Lonchura striata: one gene and its partner. The protein of the gene in region 1 interacts with the protein of each later gene in a pairwise test. Links are inferred from orthologs where the notes say so. Each region holds a gene or a part of one and is shown on either strand. Other genes may lie near its edges.

The links. The genes of interacting proteins can lie anywhere in the genome.
Region 2: the proteins of LIN7A (region 1) and PALS1 interact in binary tests that used the Homo sapiens proteins (3 or more experiments, as listed by UniProt). The two-hybrid records come from large-scale screens. The link is inferred for Lonchura striata from reciprocal best matches to the Homo sapiens genes LIN7A and PALS1.

What each region holds. Positions count from the first base shown.
Region 1 is NC_134607.1:49,054,602-49,062,446, forward strand, and holds the start of LIN7A (protein lin-7 homolog A), read right to left. Parts: upstream 3,053-7,845; 5' UTR 3,047-3,052; coding exon 2,767-3,046; intron 1-2,766. UniProt on the Homo sapiens protein: Plays a role in establishing and maintaining the asymmetric distribution of channels and receptors at the plasma membrane of polarized cells.
Region 2 is NC_134608.1:32,711,768-32,719,554, reverse strand, and holds the start of PALS1 (protein PALS1), read right to left. Parts: upstream 3,081-7,787; 5' UTR 2,946-3,080; intron 1-2,945. UniProt on the Homo sapiens protein: Plays a role in tight junction biogenesis and in the establishment of cell polarity in epithelial cells.

The DNA of each region.
Region 1 (7,845 bases):
GTGCTATTGATTCAGGGTGTAAGACATTTGCAATAAAGGTAGGAAGGGAGCATTTTCTCCAAGACGTGACTCCCTTGGCTTTTGGAAGACACCCAGGAGGCACATCCCTCTCCCAGAGCTCCCAAATGCTAGGGCCACCTTCCCTAAGTGGTACCACTCCTCACTACAATGCCTTAGGTTTCCTTCCTGAAACAGTTGCTGATTTCTTCTCCTCCTCCCAACAGAGCACCATGCAAAGGTCAGGCAAAAGCCTTAGAGATTAAATTGTAAGTGATTAAAATTTCCATTATTTTGCGAACTTGTTCTACATATTAAAGAGCCCTAATGGAACTTGCACACATTTGTGCAGGTAGAAAGGCACATGATGATAGGAATTAAGGAAATTAATTCCTGTGCTTTGGACTGAAGTAATCTTCCAGAATATAATTGGCTTTCAATCATTCACACACACCATGCCCTTCACCTTTAAATGGTAATTCATTTTACCATACAGGTTTTGAATGCCATTTATGTCAGGCTTTAAGAAAGCTCCCATCTACGTACTAGAATACAGTCATTATATTTTTTCCAGGAGGAGACAATGTCAGAGTGTAATTCATATTTCTAATGTATATATCCTTATGATGTTTTACCAGTGTCAGTGACCCATAGCAAGGAGGAATGCAGAACAATTCCTGGACAGAGATCAAGAAGCAATTCCCTCAGAAATACAAGAGTAACAATACTACCTCTCCTGAAATGCTCCCTATTTTATTGCTATGCTGAGTGAAATGGATATGAGGGTACAAGACTTTTAAGGGACTTTTAAAGATCAAAGCAGAAAAGTGCAAGGCATAGTGACTGTAAACATGGCTCATGTGCTTTAACCAAAGTAACAGGAATCTTGAAAATCTCACTATGTAGAACTTCCCGTCTCCCATGACTGTGAAAGAAAGACTACAGAGGAAATACTTGGAAGCACTGGTGTGGTCTAGTTGCCTCTGGAATTGCTTCAGCCTATTCTCTACAGTTGATGCAGCCGCATGTTACAAAGTGATGAAGTGTATCCCTCTGACGAAATGGCCTTCTGCAGGTCAGGAACACTATTTAAATCTATTTCCTCTTGCCTGTGTTTTTGTTTTGCACATCACATCCTATCATTCTGTGATGTTTTATCTCACTCATATGAATACCAGCCGTAGCTGACAACCAGGAAGACTGTAACACTGGCATGCCTGCCAAATGGTTAGGCATATCCTGGACACAGATAGCAGATGCTTATATTTAAATTGGAACTAATTTGCATTTTTGCGCATTGTGGAATTTTTAAAGCATTGTTTTGCAAAAAGGGATGTATAATTCTGAAATAGTAGTATTTCGTTTGAAGAGTCAGGTTTGCTAATGGATTGCCATCTGTTCAACCCTTTGCCAGAAAGTAGATTTGTCCTGCTTACTGAAAACAGTATTAGGGTGAAACTGTAGATTACACAGTGGATTTCTGAGCAGTTTAATTTAAAATGCAGGCTAACACTTTGCTATTTCAGTAAAAATAACTTTAGCTTCTCTCTTTCTACTAATGCTGGAATCTAAGTGGAGTACTTTGTGGGCTGTTTTGCTCTCAATTGGGTTCTAGAAATGGTGCCTACCTCTCCTTTACAATTTTGAAACAGAGTTTGTGTTTCATTTGCATAGGATTCACAGAAAAAAAAAAATCTCCATCTTACTTCAACAAATTCGTCTTAATCCTTTGGAAAAAACAAACAAACAAACTTTTAAAACAGCAAGGCACTGGCCTCAATTATTCCTTCAAGAGTACAAGATTTATAGGGACTGGGAGCCTCTTGAAGCCTCTGGATGCAAGAGGAAGAAGGACATCTCGGCAATTCAGAATGCCGTACTGGGAGGGGTAGGAGCAAAGCTGCTCTCCCTTGTAACCCACAGAAATCGATTTGAATGAGGTTTCTGGTGAACCATATTACGGGAACAACTGCACTGCTAGGGTATGAAGTTCAATTTTTACAGCCTGAAGGCAAAAGTTTAATTGTAAACTTCAAGATTTCAGCACCCTCTTATGCTACCCTGTATAAGATTACTACTGACACAGCCTCAAGGCTACCCAAACACCAATGCTCTCCCTACCCGGACCGCGCATCTGTCTACGCGAATACGCAGAACCGATCTTCTGCATGCGAACGGACAAGTTGCAGTCACGGAAACCATCCCCGCACACCGCGGCGCAAGCCCCTAAAAAGCCGTATTTTGCCGGAAAACAACGCTCTCGTAGAGGCGTGGGCTCCCGGCCCGCAGCCGGAGCGGCGCTGCCCCGCCACCGAGCATCCCCCGCCGAGCCACCTGCGGGGGTGGCGACGCGGGGCCTCGGCGCGGAGCCACGGCGGGGCCGCCCCCGGGGAGCCCCGCGGGGCGGGGGCGGCGGAGCGGCACCGAGGAGCGCCTCCGGACCGGAGCGCTGACCGCGGAGCCGCGTCCTGCTCTTGCGGCACCGCGGCGCTACCGGCGGCGGGATACCCGCCCCATCCCGGCCCCTGCCCGCACAAAGTTTTATCCCCTCCGTTTCAGACCTTCTCTCGCCGCCCACCTGAACCCCGCCGAGAGGGGCATCCCCGCTGCCCGCCGCCGCCGCCAGCCGCGGGCACTGCGGGGCCGGAGCTGTGCCGCGGCAGCGCCCGCCCGCCGGAGCTGCGGGGGCAGAGCCGGCGCTTGCCGCGGTGGCCCCCGGGCAGGGCGGCCGGGGAGGCGCGGCCAGGGAGCCGCGGCAGCCGCGCTTACCTCTGTCCAGCGTGAGCGGCTGGACCGCTGTCAGTGTCGCCATATCTGCGGCGGGGCTGGAGCCCGAGTGACGCGCGGCTCCGGCACCGGCGTGGAGTGCGGGGAAGGGCGGGGAGGAGGCTGGCAGGGAGAGGGGGCGGAGGAGGAGGGTGGCTCCGTGGGAGGAGGAGGCGAGCGGGGCGGAGAAGGTGCCCAGGGGTGGGCGGCTCATCGCACACGGGCCGCCGCGATGCTGCGGGCGCAGAGCGGCCCGGCGCGGCCCGGCGCGGGCTGCCGGCATGGCTGCGCTGCGGGAGCCGGGCCTGGCGAGCCGCCCCGCTTCGCCGCGCTCGCCTCGGGCACGGACCGGCACCGCGGAGACCGCAGCAGCCCGGGCCGTGCGCGGGGGGCGGTTCGCTGCCGGTCCCGCCGCCCCGGGGATGCCGCAGCTGCCGGCGGAGGAAGAGAGAGGGGCGAGGGCGGGAGCTCCGCAGCGCCGCGGGGCGGGGAGGACCGGCGGGATCCGGCGGCCCGGCCTCGCCCGGGCCGGGGGCGGTGGGCCGGGCCGGGCCCGGCGGCACGGGGAGCGGTGTGCCTGGTGAGGCCCGGCTCCCGGGGCTGCCTGCGGGAAGGAAAACCCGCGCGCGGAGCCGGGCTAGGCGGTTCCTGCCATTGTGCAGGGCCTTGGATTAAGGGACATATCAGGTGCCACCCTTTTGGATGGACCAGGGCGCCGGCCTCATCAGTCCAGCCATCATCTCTCTTCTACTTGGTATCCGCGGCCGGCCGTCCTTCAGAAACACAGCACACGCACCAGCTCTCCACCGCGAGGGGCTGGTCACACACACACGGCAGCCGCCTCTTGCAGGTCAGCTACAGCTCGTGTGAACATGGAGGCCTCTGTCAAAAACCACCCACGAAGGTGGAATTTCACTGGAGTTCTGCGAGGTTTTTCGGCAGCCTACCTTGTCGTCCACAAGAAGAGAAAGGAACGTGGTCAGTTGCCATCCGAGAAAGGTGTGATAGGCTGGCAGATTTCCACTGAGTTGCTGCTGCCTTCTCTTTGGTGGATGATGGTGTAGAGAAATAAATTGAATGCAGAATAGTGTCCTTTTTAACTATTTCCCTGTGTAGCACATGAGCACCTTAGGCATGTATGGAATAAACTGGGATAAAGGGCAAGGTAGCATTCTTCTCTTCACCCACTACTTTTTCACATACCACAGAGAACTTGAAAGTACAGCAGTACAAGGATGCACATGAATAAAAGCTTTCAGCTGCAGAGGTATTTAAGCAGTAGTATAAAGAATTAGGGAAGATGTGGAAAATTTGCCACTTAAACTTTCCAGAGCAGATTAAAAATACATTTTGCTGTTCTAAAATTAGAGGAGTTTAATATTCATATGAACCACCCACTTCTGATAAACTGAATTCAGCACCAATTTATCTAAATAACGATAAACATTAACATATTTGGTTATCTTGGCAAGAAAATATTTTAATTAGCTTAAATATCAAAAGTGGAAAAATAGTTCCTGGCAAACAGTTTTTAAAATCAAAATTAACATCAGAATTGTTATTATGCAACTTTTATGTACATAGCAGCTGGGTTGACATAAAGTGTAATAGCTCCTCTTAAGTAGTCATGTTACTGTGTATTAGATTCATAGTCCCAAATGGAGAAGGAGTAAACATTTGGAACTATAACAACCAAATGTGACAGCATTCAAACAATTATGACATTTTAAAAAAAACTTTATTAAAAGTTAAAGAAGTGTGTTCAAATAAAATTAAGAGCAAGATGGCAAGTAAATTACCCAGGTAAATATGAAAACCAAGTTTCTTTCCATGTATGACTTCATAACCCTCAGACTTGCCTTCTTAGAGTGCTATCTTGCAAACACGTTTTGAAGCAAAATGCTGTCATAGCAGTAACTTCTCTACCAATAAATACATAGTATTAATGCCAAGAGCAGTGAGCCTGTGGAAAGCCATAAGATCTTTCTGGGTCTATCTTTTATCTACTGCTGGTCAAATTTTGTGTGCTTCAAGGACTAATTGGCACTTGGATAAGAGACTTGAAGTATTACTGCACTCAAGGAAGATGTAAAGCAGCGTCTGCTGAAATTAAACATTTTCTAATCAGCATAGCTGTACAGTTCCTAAGAATGTTAAAGACTTAGAGGAGGAATACTTTAAGCAGCTGAACTTTTGCAGAAAATTGCAGAAGTTACACAGCTGAAATTAGCAGCTGGAGAAAGCAGGTGAATGAGGCAGTAGCTGTTGCTTTGATAACTCCCAGGAGCAATGGAGGGCACTAATAGCTAAAGTTAACAGTCAAAAGGAGTACCAGCCAGCCTGCCATCATACAAAGTAAATCTTTTTTGACAGAAACAACTGGTCTGACTCTCAGTCTTCTTGTTTCATTGGGCTGTATTGGAGCTTCTAATTCAATATTGCATGCTGTTTTACTAAACCAATGAAATTAGGCTGAATTAACAGATTTTGTATCTGCTACATGGACTATAACGCTTCTCAGTGGTCAGGTGCCAGTGTAGAAGGCTGTTGCTAATTAGGCCTGTATACTTTTTGTGGCTAAATTTTTAAACAAAGTTTAGCTATTTTTTAAAAATACCTAAAATGTGGTCATAAAGTCTTCCATGGCTATGCTTTTAGATAATGCATATTTTATTATGTAAAATAAAAAAATTGCCTGAAAGTGGGTAAACTGTGAAAGATGGGTGTCCAGAGAGGCTGAGAAAGGGCCTGGGCTACCTGTTCTTACTGTGACACTAGCTCAGCTTTAAGCAAGAGATTAGACTGGATATTTTTCAGATCCTTTTCAACATAAATTATTTGATGGTTCTGTAGTAAACTGTCTAAATTACTAGTAAGAATTATCGGAATAGCTGGATTAAATTGTTAGGTTTTAAAAAACAATGTGTTTTAATGCTGCTGCAAGCAAGCAATGAAGAACGCAATGGTTACTTCAGGACTGGAAATGTTTTTTGGTAGGGATGTTCTTATGTAGTGCATTCAGTGTAAGTTCTTTTTGGGATGTCACCAAAAGGACAACACAGATATATAAATGAAAAATGGCAAACACAAACAGGGGAAATTATCTTTCTTCTGTATAGAGCAACTGACTAGAATACTGTGTCCAGATGTGATGCTTGCCTTTTAAGACAGAAAGTCAGTTTTGACATGAGGTTGAAGGACTTTAAACAAAGTTTATCAAAGAAAAGGGATAAGAAGAGAATGAATCACTGTATGTAGGAAGAGTCATAATATTGGAGAGATTTAAAGTCTTTAAATTTATAGTCTTATTACGTAAGGTGATCCCATGACTGGAAGTTTAACAAACACAACCTTGAGTAAGCTGTGTTGCTCTAGCTATTAGGATAATATAGGGATCAGTTACTTGTGATTGCTTGAAATCTTAAAAATCAGAGGTCTGTATAAATGGCTTGCTTGGATCTAATGCCTAAAGAAAATACAATGGGGCCAGTATTCAGGAGGTTAGATGATATCTGTTACTCTGCTGACTTTTATGATCCTTTGTCTTCCCTCAAGAACTGGTGCTACATTAACCAGAGAATTATTTCTATGCAGCACAGTGTAATGCAATGTGGAAAAACCCAGCACCACTCTGAAGGCGCTCATTGGCTGCCAGAGCCAATTGTTGTAAAGGACCTTAAAAATTATCTAGTTCCACCCCCTTGCCATGTTGAGGGTTATCTTTCAGTAAAACAGGTTGCTTAAAACCCCATCCAGCCTAGTCTTGAACACTTCCAGGGATGGAGCATCCCTGTTTCTAGGCAACTTTTTCCAGTGTTTGACTATCCTCATATCCTCTAATCTAAACCTTCCCTCTCTGAGTTTGTGCCTTGCACTTCAGCACAACTAAAAGCAAAGACTGCAGGAGTTTTGTAGTGTTGTGAATGGTCAGAAGACTGAGGATTTTTGTTGTCATTCAGATTTGCTTTTTGAGTAGCATTTTGCATCTAAAGGGGAAAGAAACCTTCCATTAAAAAAAAAAAAATCCATAGGTTATTTTCCATGCAGTTTCCATGGCAGAACTTGCTATTTGAGGAATTCGATGGTTTAACAGCAGCTTGTTTATTGGGCAAAGAGCTGCATTGGTTACTCATAAGAAATGTGATTTAGTTCTTTCTGAAGACTCTATGTGTTTCTCACAAGTACAGTTCATTTTGTCCCAGGAGAGCCATGTCATCTCAAATAATATTTCAGGTGAGCTGAATGCACAGCTACCATGGATGCACAGCTGTGTATAGTTCAGTATTTTTCCACTGTACTACCCTCTACCACAGAACTGCACTTCCCTACAGGACTCATTTTGCATTCTAATATTGTGTAATGGATTACTTTTTTGTAGATTGTGCAATTACTGGTTTTTTCCTAAACACTGAAATCAATTTGGCCTTTTTTTTCCCCAGTTTTGCTAAAGATTTAATTGAAGTTGACAACAGGGAGAATAGGGTCAAGCTTTGCCAAAATTTGCCTTGGGCTACATTGAAATTCAGGTGGAGGGTCTGCTCTGTCTGGTAAATTTCCACGTATAGTGTATAGAATCTTCTAAGTGGATGTAGCCTCTTAAAAATAATTACTGTAAGAGCTAAGAAAAGCAAACCTGTTGCTGGTAGGCCTATATTTGCTGTTGGGGAAAGTAGGTTGCGCCTTGGTAGGCATGGTCCCCCCTTTCTTTTAGGCAGGGAAGCAGTTTAAAAGCAATTATAAATCTGACCTTCAATCTAGTACTACCTTTGGATATATATGAAATCTGAAACATGAATCCCTTTTTTACTCTGACTTTGCTTATTTTGTCTGTTTTAAAAATGAGATTATTACTATGTCAGTACTGAGGACCTTTGAGAAAAGTGCAAGTTACCCTTTGTGTGACTACAGATATCTTCAGTTAGTTTAATGCCAGTGAAAGCTTCGCTGCAAGCACTGAACCTGTAGTGAAAACAGGCCCATAATGAATGAATTCACATAGGGTTTTTAGTTATTTGAACAACAGAACAAAAGTATTGATTTACTCTCCTCAGATAATGAAAGACCATAATAATGAATTATCCA
Region 2 (7,787 bases), on another chromosome or scaffold:
GCATATTTTTCTTCCCACACAGCTATGTGTTAATCTGCAATTAGACACCTCAGCATAATAAAACAAGTCTTTACCAGCAGACATATACTGATCACCTTCCATTAAAAATAAGAACAAACCCCAAAAGCTTACTTTAAAATAGTCTGAGATGTAAACTTAATTAGTTATAATTTCCTCTTTCTTCTGGTTCATACTTTAGCTTGAACTACACTTGAGACATTTTGTCTAGTTTGTCTAGCTGGATTGGGAGTGAAGGAAAGAGGATGTGTACATAAAGTGCCCCTGTTGTCAGAACTGCTGTATTGAGGAACACTCCACAGTAGATAACTACACTAGAAAACCAATTCTGCCAGCAGACCTGATTTTAAACCACCACTTAAATTGTTTCCACCAAGTTTTCTACCATAGACATATTGCAAACCTTTTCAAATGGACAAATGCCTCTCTTTGTCCATTAATAGAAGGAAAACAATAGAGCAGTATTTAATTAATATTTACAAAAAGTCTTGAGGTTTTCAAATGTGTGATCAAGGCAGCAATTAGTGTTCCAAATACCGTAATGTCGAGTATTTCTGCAACAGTGACCGAGAAAATACTTTAAAAATGTCAGTTGCTAAATATTTAAAAATTTAGAACATGTCACATGAATACAAATACAAATCCTGCTATCTAGGAAGTACCACACTGTTTGAAATTTTAGCCTTCAGCATTCTGAAAGCCTAACACTGTAAAAGGAATGCACTTCAAAGTACAAACTGGGAAAAAATGGTAGCTGCAACAGTTAAAACAGTTAGCTTCTGATGTTAAGATCCAATCTTTGAAGAGACATAATAGAATTTGCATCTAAAAATGCTGTAGGTTTCTTAAAAGCCTACAACTTCTAAGTATAACAGGAGATTCTAATCAAAGCAGCAAATGAAGTATTAGGAAAATTTAATCTTTTTATTACAACAAATGTAATTATTTTTTTTATAAACAAGGATCAATAAATGGATGCACATAAACTTCAGACTACATTAAGTTTTCTGTATCCGTAACTCTTGGTATGAATCCCAACTTCTGCACTGCATTTTCTATGGTTCTTTACCTTGTACTGCTGTGGTACTGAAAGATGCCTGTCACCCCTCAAAGGTCATAAGTAATTCCTGCAGATTCCTAAGCCAGATAAATCAGTCTACTGAAGAAATATTTTGATGCACATTTCTAAGTTCAGAATTTCTGAGAAGAAATTTAATAAAAACTAAACAAAATTAGAGTCTTCACCAAGAGCTAATTATTTACAGAAAAACATCACCATCCTCTGTTATTCCACACATTGCAAGGTAATATGACACACATTGGAAGAATGTAAACTCTGAAAAAAAATAATTAAAGAGTTCAGTGATCATGGACTAACATTTAAGTCTCTATTACTTTATCATTATTAACAATGATAATTAAATATAACATCCTACAACATTGCTTCAAAACACTGTAATATTTTTGATATTATGTTAAAAGTGTCTACAAGAGTAGACAATTACTTAAGCTTTTAATGTGTAAAATACTGGATTTTTTTTAAAGTACAATGTTGGAAAAGAGTTAACGTGTATCATCCAGGCAGATCTAAAGTGTTTCGCATTCAGATGTGCAGTAACAGCTCTAATATGATCATAAGGAAAAAATATGTACTGTGAAAATTTGGACAACAGATCAAAACCAAAAGCTTGCAGACTCAGATGTCTAAAGCCAATACAAAGATGCCTTTTTTTACAAATTCATGAAAAACATCTCAATCTTTAAAAAGGACAGAGATCCCTTTAAGGCATTGGCAACAGAAGCATCTAACACATAGAAGATCACCACAGTCACTTGTTAGAAGTCTGACTGCAGTCAGCTGTATATTATCATGTATCTAGAATGAAATTATTTTGCTCTGTTAAGTGAGCTATGGATATAGTCTACGCCTAAATAATTGCAATAGAGGCTTTATCTTTAAAAGAAAATACCCTCCATAGCACTTATTGATATTTACCGCTTTTAATATTCTTCATGAAGTTATTTTTTGTGGATCTGTCCCATGTGAGACATCTAACAATATTATTGTTTTAGACAGCTTTGTTTGTATATAAATATTCCGCAGTAAGGTCAAATACAAGTTAATTTAATTTTCTCCCGCGGTCTGTCTCACCGAGCTCACAGTCACCGCGTTCTTTGTTGCCTGGCTGTAGTGTCTCTCTCTCCCAGCACACAGCCTCGATGCCTCCGCCAGGAAAGCGGCAGCACCGCAGGAGCATTACCACTACAGCTTTGGGAAAACGGAGCCGCTCCAACCGGGACGTGCGCTAACTGCTGCTGACTGTAAAACACACTGGAAGTCGCCCACGTTCAACCTGCTTTAACTTAGCTCCGCAAAGCTTCATAAACCCATACGAAGCAAAAACTTCACAGAGGAATAATTTCCAAACACAGAGCTGCCAGAGCATCAGAAGTGCACAGGAGGGGGCCCTAAAGTTTCCCCCCTCATTGTTTAAACTCGTACACAACGCTTAACAAGTCCGCAGAGAGAGCACACAGCCAAGTGAGGGAGGTTTTCTTACAACTCCTGGGCCTAAGCTCCGGGAAGCATCCCAAGAAAGGGCGGCAGGAAAGCCGCAGGATACGCTCTCGGGAGGCCCCCGCGCTCCCGCAGCGCCGCCGGCACCTGTAGCCGCCGCGGCCGGGGCCGCCCCGCCCGGCCGGGACCCGCGGCCAAGGTACAGCCCGGGCCACCGCCAGCGGGGTGCGGGGACCGGGGCCGAGCCCCGAGTGCCGCCGAGCCCGGCTGTGCCCCGCCGTCCCGCCCGGTCTCGGCCCGGCCGGACCCCCGGGCCTGCGCGGGCGCCGTGGCCGCGGGGGAGGCTCCGGCCAGACGCGACTCGCGGCGGGACCTGTTGCTCGCGCGCTGGGCACGGCGCTCCGCTCACCGTCCGTCTTTTTCCGCCGCTGACACGCTCCAGCCCCGCCGCCGGCTGGAAGTCGGAGTCCCCGGCGTCCCGCGGCGCCCCCGCGCCCAGCCCGCGGAACCGTCCGGCCACAGCCCCCGCAGCGCTGCGCAGCCGCCGCCCGGCCCGGCCCGGCCCGGCCCGGCCCGCCCCCGCGCCGCCGCCCCGCCCCCCGCGCAGGCGCGGCGCCGCCCACGGCCGCCTCGGCCGGGCGGCGAGCGGCGCTGCCTCCGAGGCCGCGGCGGCGGTCGGCGCCGCCCGCAGGTGGCGTGGACACGTGGACGCGGTGCTGCTTCTGTGTCGCCTTCCTCGCAGAATCGCGGAATCGAGTAGGTTGGAAAGACCTCTGAAATTACCGAGTCCAACCTAGGACCGAACACCACCTTGTCGACTGGACCCTGGCACTGAGTGCCACGGCCAGTCTTTGCTTAAACGCTTCAGGGACGGTGACTCCCCTGCCTCCCTGGGCAGCCCATTTCAGTCCAGTCCATTCCGGCCGTCATCTCCCATCTCTCTGCCACGGCTTCCTCTGCGGCCCGAGCGGGACCACCAGGGCAGCCCGTGTCCCGGGCAGACCTGGCTCCCCCCCGGCCACTCGCTCCTTCCCCCTCGCCCAGCTCCAGCTGCCGCCCCCCGCCCTTTCTCCTCCACCCTCTCTGGCATCCCCCCGTTCGCCCGCTGCTGCTGCCGCATCCTCAGCCCAGCTTGAATGCCCCAGCCAGGCTGGAGCCTGTGTGGGCAATAAAGTATTTAATCTCATCGAGAGTCCACTCTGCCTCTGGGAGGCTGAGGCATAGAAGGCGCCCATAACACTCTGTCTGGAAGAATGAAGAAAACAAGAGGTTACAAGTAGTTTTACCGGGTTGTTTGTATCCTTGGCTGTGTTTTTCAGGAACAGGGGAACGTCTTTTTAGCGCACAACAGTTAAGTTTGACTTCGAGCTGCAAACTGCACTCACTTCCCTGGTTTTTCAGGCTAGCCTGCCTAGATCGTTGCTCAAGGCATTAGAAGAAATGTTCTGTGTAACCAGACAAGTAAAAAAAGGCTCACTTAGATAACTAAGAAGTCCTAAAGAGATACCTGCTTTCGTCCATCTCTCCTTGCTTCAGTTTATCTGTATAAAAATCTGTGCAATTTAACTCGATCATTCTTCACAGTGAAATCCACACTTTCTATAATGGTACCCAATATATCATGTTTTCAAATAATGTTCTTATGGTTTTTCTTTTTCTGTGAAAAGGCTTAATACAATAATGTATGTCCTGACCAGTTACCTGCAGAGTAAAGTCTGAAAGCCTTTCTACCTTTTCACATTGTGACTCAAACTCCCCAGGGCAGCATGCCTTATAAGTGCATTTAACATCTGTTTTTGTTCTGACCAATACTGAGGGGCTTTGCATCAAGTGAACACAACTGGAACACTGCAGGAGATACAGATGTTAGTGGACTGCGGAATTATTTACTTGGGAAATAAAAAAGAGAGGGAAACCATGACACTGGTAATTTGTGGCTGAGCAGCACCAAGCGTGGTTCTTCGCACCTTCATATGAACATGGTTCATAAAAGTTCACATGAACCCTTTCTTAGAAAGCACTTTGACAAAGGACCTTATAACTAAAGGATGTTTTCAAAATGTGATACTTACCTAGAAGATATGACTGCAAAAAGTAGGTAGGTTCATCAGTTATCTGTTCACTGTTGAACTCTTTTCTATGTCCAAGGTTGGAATGGTCAGACAAAAAAAGACACAAATTCTGCTTACAATTTCCTTCAGCTGATAGCATTTTTACTTCCTTTCCACAGAAAATCTCATTGCCTCCAATTTGCATGTTGTCCAGCAGCTATTTTTAAAGCCAGCATAAAGGAATTTTCTTCAATATGGTGTGTAATTTGTCATAAAATAAAGAAAGATTCTCATCAGTTCTAGAACTTCCTCCTTTACTGTCTTTACTGTCTTGTAGCTGAAGTTTATTTTTTTTTTTTTGCCAGAAGGGGTTACCAGACCAGATTAAGACTGAGTTTGGAATATCTCTTGGATATATCTGCTTAAGGATCTGTTTGTTTCTTTGGTAACCAATCTCCTCCCTCTGGCTTTCACAAGGCATCACAGAAACCCTAATATTAGCCTGTGCCCAGCTGGCAAATCCATTCAAATGGTACTTGAATGAGATGTGCTTGGCTAATTCTATCCAACAGATTAAAGTACTCTGTCAGGCCAAGAAGTTGTCATACCTGAAAACGATTCACAATAGAGAACAGGATCAGCAGCATTATTCGTAAGGACCCAGATAACCTTTCTGTTTTGAATCACTTCAATAGACAGCTCTTATGGTTCATTTTGTCTTGTGGGTGCTGTTTGGTGATATGCTGAGAACACAGTAATTACTCTGAGAAAATAAACATTTTAGCTTAAATTTAACAAAATCTTCAAATTGAAAAGATACAGAGAAGGAAGGTGAATGGGAGGATGAGGAATGACAATGGAATTATGATTGGGAAGATCAAAGCTTTTAATCTTCCTTTGTTTTGTTTTAGCTGATTAATCTTTCATATGAGGATCTATAAAGACAGCTTTTAAAGGAAATGAGAAAACTACCTACCAAAGTAGTATAAAGCTTTCTGTTTCATCTCTTGTTCAAAGTGTTCAGTTATTATCTTTAAGTAGAAAGGAACTAAAAATAAATACCCAAGTGATACCTTTTGTGAGCTTGGATCTTTGAACATTTTAATTTTAGACAACAATTTTTCTATGTTTTTGCTATTTGGCATTATGGAAACATTAAAGCCTGCTTGCAGCTGCAGAACCAGTGTATTTAGGCAACATTATTTATTATAGAACTTTATTTTTAAGATTGGTGTATTAATTCCACAGACAAATATTTTTTAACAAAGAAAATGTTCATTTTTGACGAATTGAATTTGACATGAATTAGTGTCACTGTTTACCAGCAGGGTGCAGATATAATTGTGATCAATCTAAATCTGGCTGATTGCAATCAATAGAAAAGAGAAAAAAAAAATTCTGACTCAAGTTGAGGAATCAGCCTAACATAGAACAAAATGTTTTCTTTGAAACCATTGCCCTCTGGAGGGGAAATGAAAAATCACCAAGGGATCAGAGAACTCCTTTTTATTTCACTATTTAACTATATTTGTGCTTTGCAATCTCTGAATGGTTCTACAGAGGGTTGCAATAAAGCAGTGCTGTCAGAAGGGCCTCACTGGCCACAGTGCTTATGTCAGTGGGTTGAAGAAGTAATCCCCATCTGTCTGCCCCATAACTCTCCTCCCCTTTATCTCTAAACTCTTTATCTCTAAACTCATGGAGCATCAGTTCTACAGCAGATGTACTTTCTCTTCTAACTCCACCTTGGATCCTTTCCAAGCTGGTGTCATCCCTCTTTATTTGCCAAAATACATTTTTATGCAATCCCTGAGGCATTCTTGTCTGCCTATGCCACACTCTGTATTCCATTCTCTTTCTTGACCTTTCTGCTGTTTGATTGGTTGGTTAGTTCTTTTATTATCTTGATTACCCTTTTCTTCTTGATCTTTAATTCTTGCACAGCTCTGAGAAATTATGTACTGTTCTTTCTATCTCTCTACTTTCTTGTCTGACATCTATTGAAATAGACTTTTTTCCTCCTGTCTCTGAGAACCTCACAGGGATTTTTCTCTTGGCCTTCAGATATTGATTATATCTTGGATTATCACATTTAAATGTCACCTGTAATTGAATATGAATGAAAGTGAACTCCTGCCTGCTCAGACTTTGTCTATATATTCTCCCTATATTGGTGGGGAAATGACAGCATTGCTCAGTGAACTTTCCAGTCTGATTTACAACAATCTGATACCTCCTGACTACAAATTTGATTATTGTTTTAACTCTTAAGTAGACACATACCCCAGCCATCTGAAAGAATGTAACAGCAGCACTAGTCCACATGTAGGACTGGTTTCATTCAGTATCTAATGTTTTGAAGAAGAATGCAAAACACCAAAGTCCCTAAGGCAAATTCTGCATTAAGCAAGGAAAAAAAAGTAGACTTCTCAGTGTCCATAACCCAGCAACAGACACCCTAAATTTTGAAATCAATTACAGGAATCCAATTTAATTTCAACATTTTTCATTGTTTAGGACAACAAATACTAAGGATTCAAATGTAGTTACATTTTTCTTCTTGATAGCATCTAGAATTTTTGCTTACTTCCTATTGAATAACCTCATTCTGCATTCAATTTCATCTGGGTAGCCAGAACATCTTCCTCTCTGGTTTCTAGTGCCCTCTGCCACTCCTTATAATCCTTCAGATAAAAATTGTACAATTCCAAGTAAGGTCATAATATTTATGAGTAGGGTCATAAACACAAGAGAAGTTCAGCTGCAGGGAAAGGTTAATCTCCAGAAGAGATGTCTTAAATCTGGCAGTACTGTCCATCCCTCAATGTGAGGTTTTAAGCTCAGAAATAGGAATGGTTCCCAGAACATGGATGCCCCAAATAAAAACTAGAAGTGAGGTTGTTAGTGTAACACTTTGGGGCACTATTTTTAATCCAGAAAAGAAAGAACAGGCAATAAAAATTATCCTTCTTCCACTGTTTTCCCCTATTAAGTTTTACTCAAATTAGTGATTGTCTTTTCTCTTTGTGTCTGTTTGCTGATTCTTGTTTTTCCTCTGTTTGTGAAGAAATAACAATTTATGAGATAGCTCAGGGATCTGTGAGAAAATAGGGGAAGAACCAACAAAAAGAACTAACAAAAGTTTCAGCAGTTGATACTGCCTAAGGAAAATACTTAGGTGGTAAATCCTATTGAAAGAA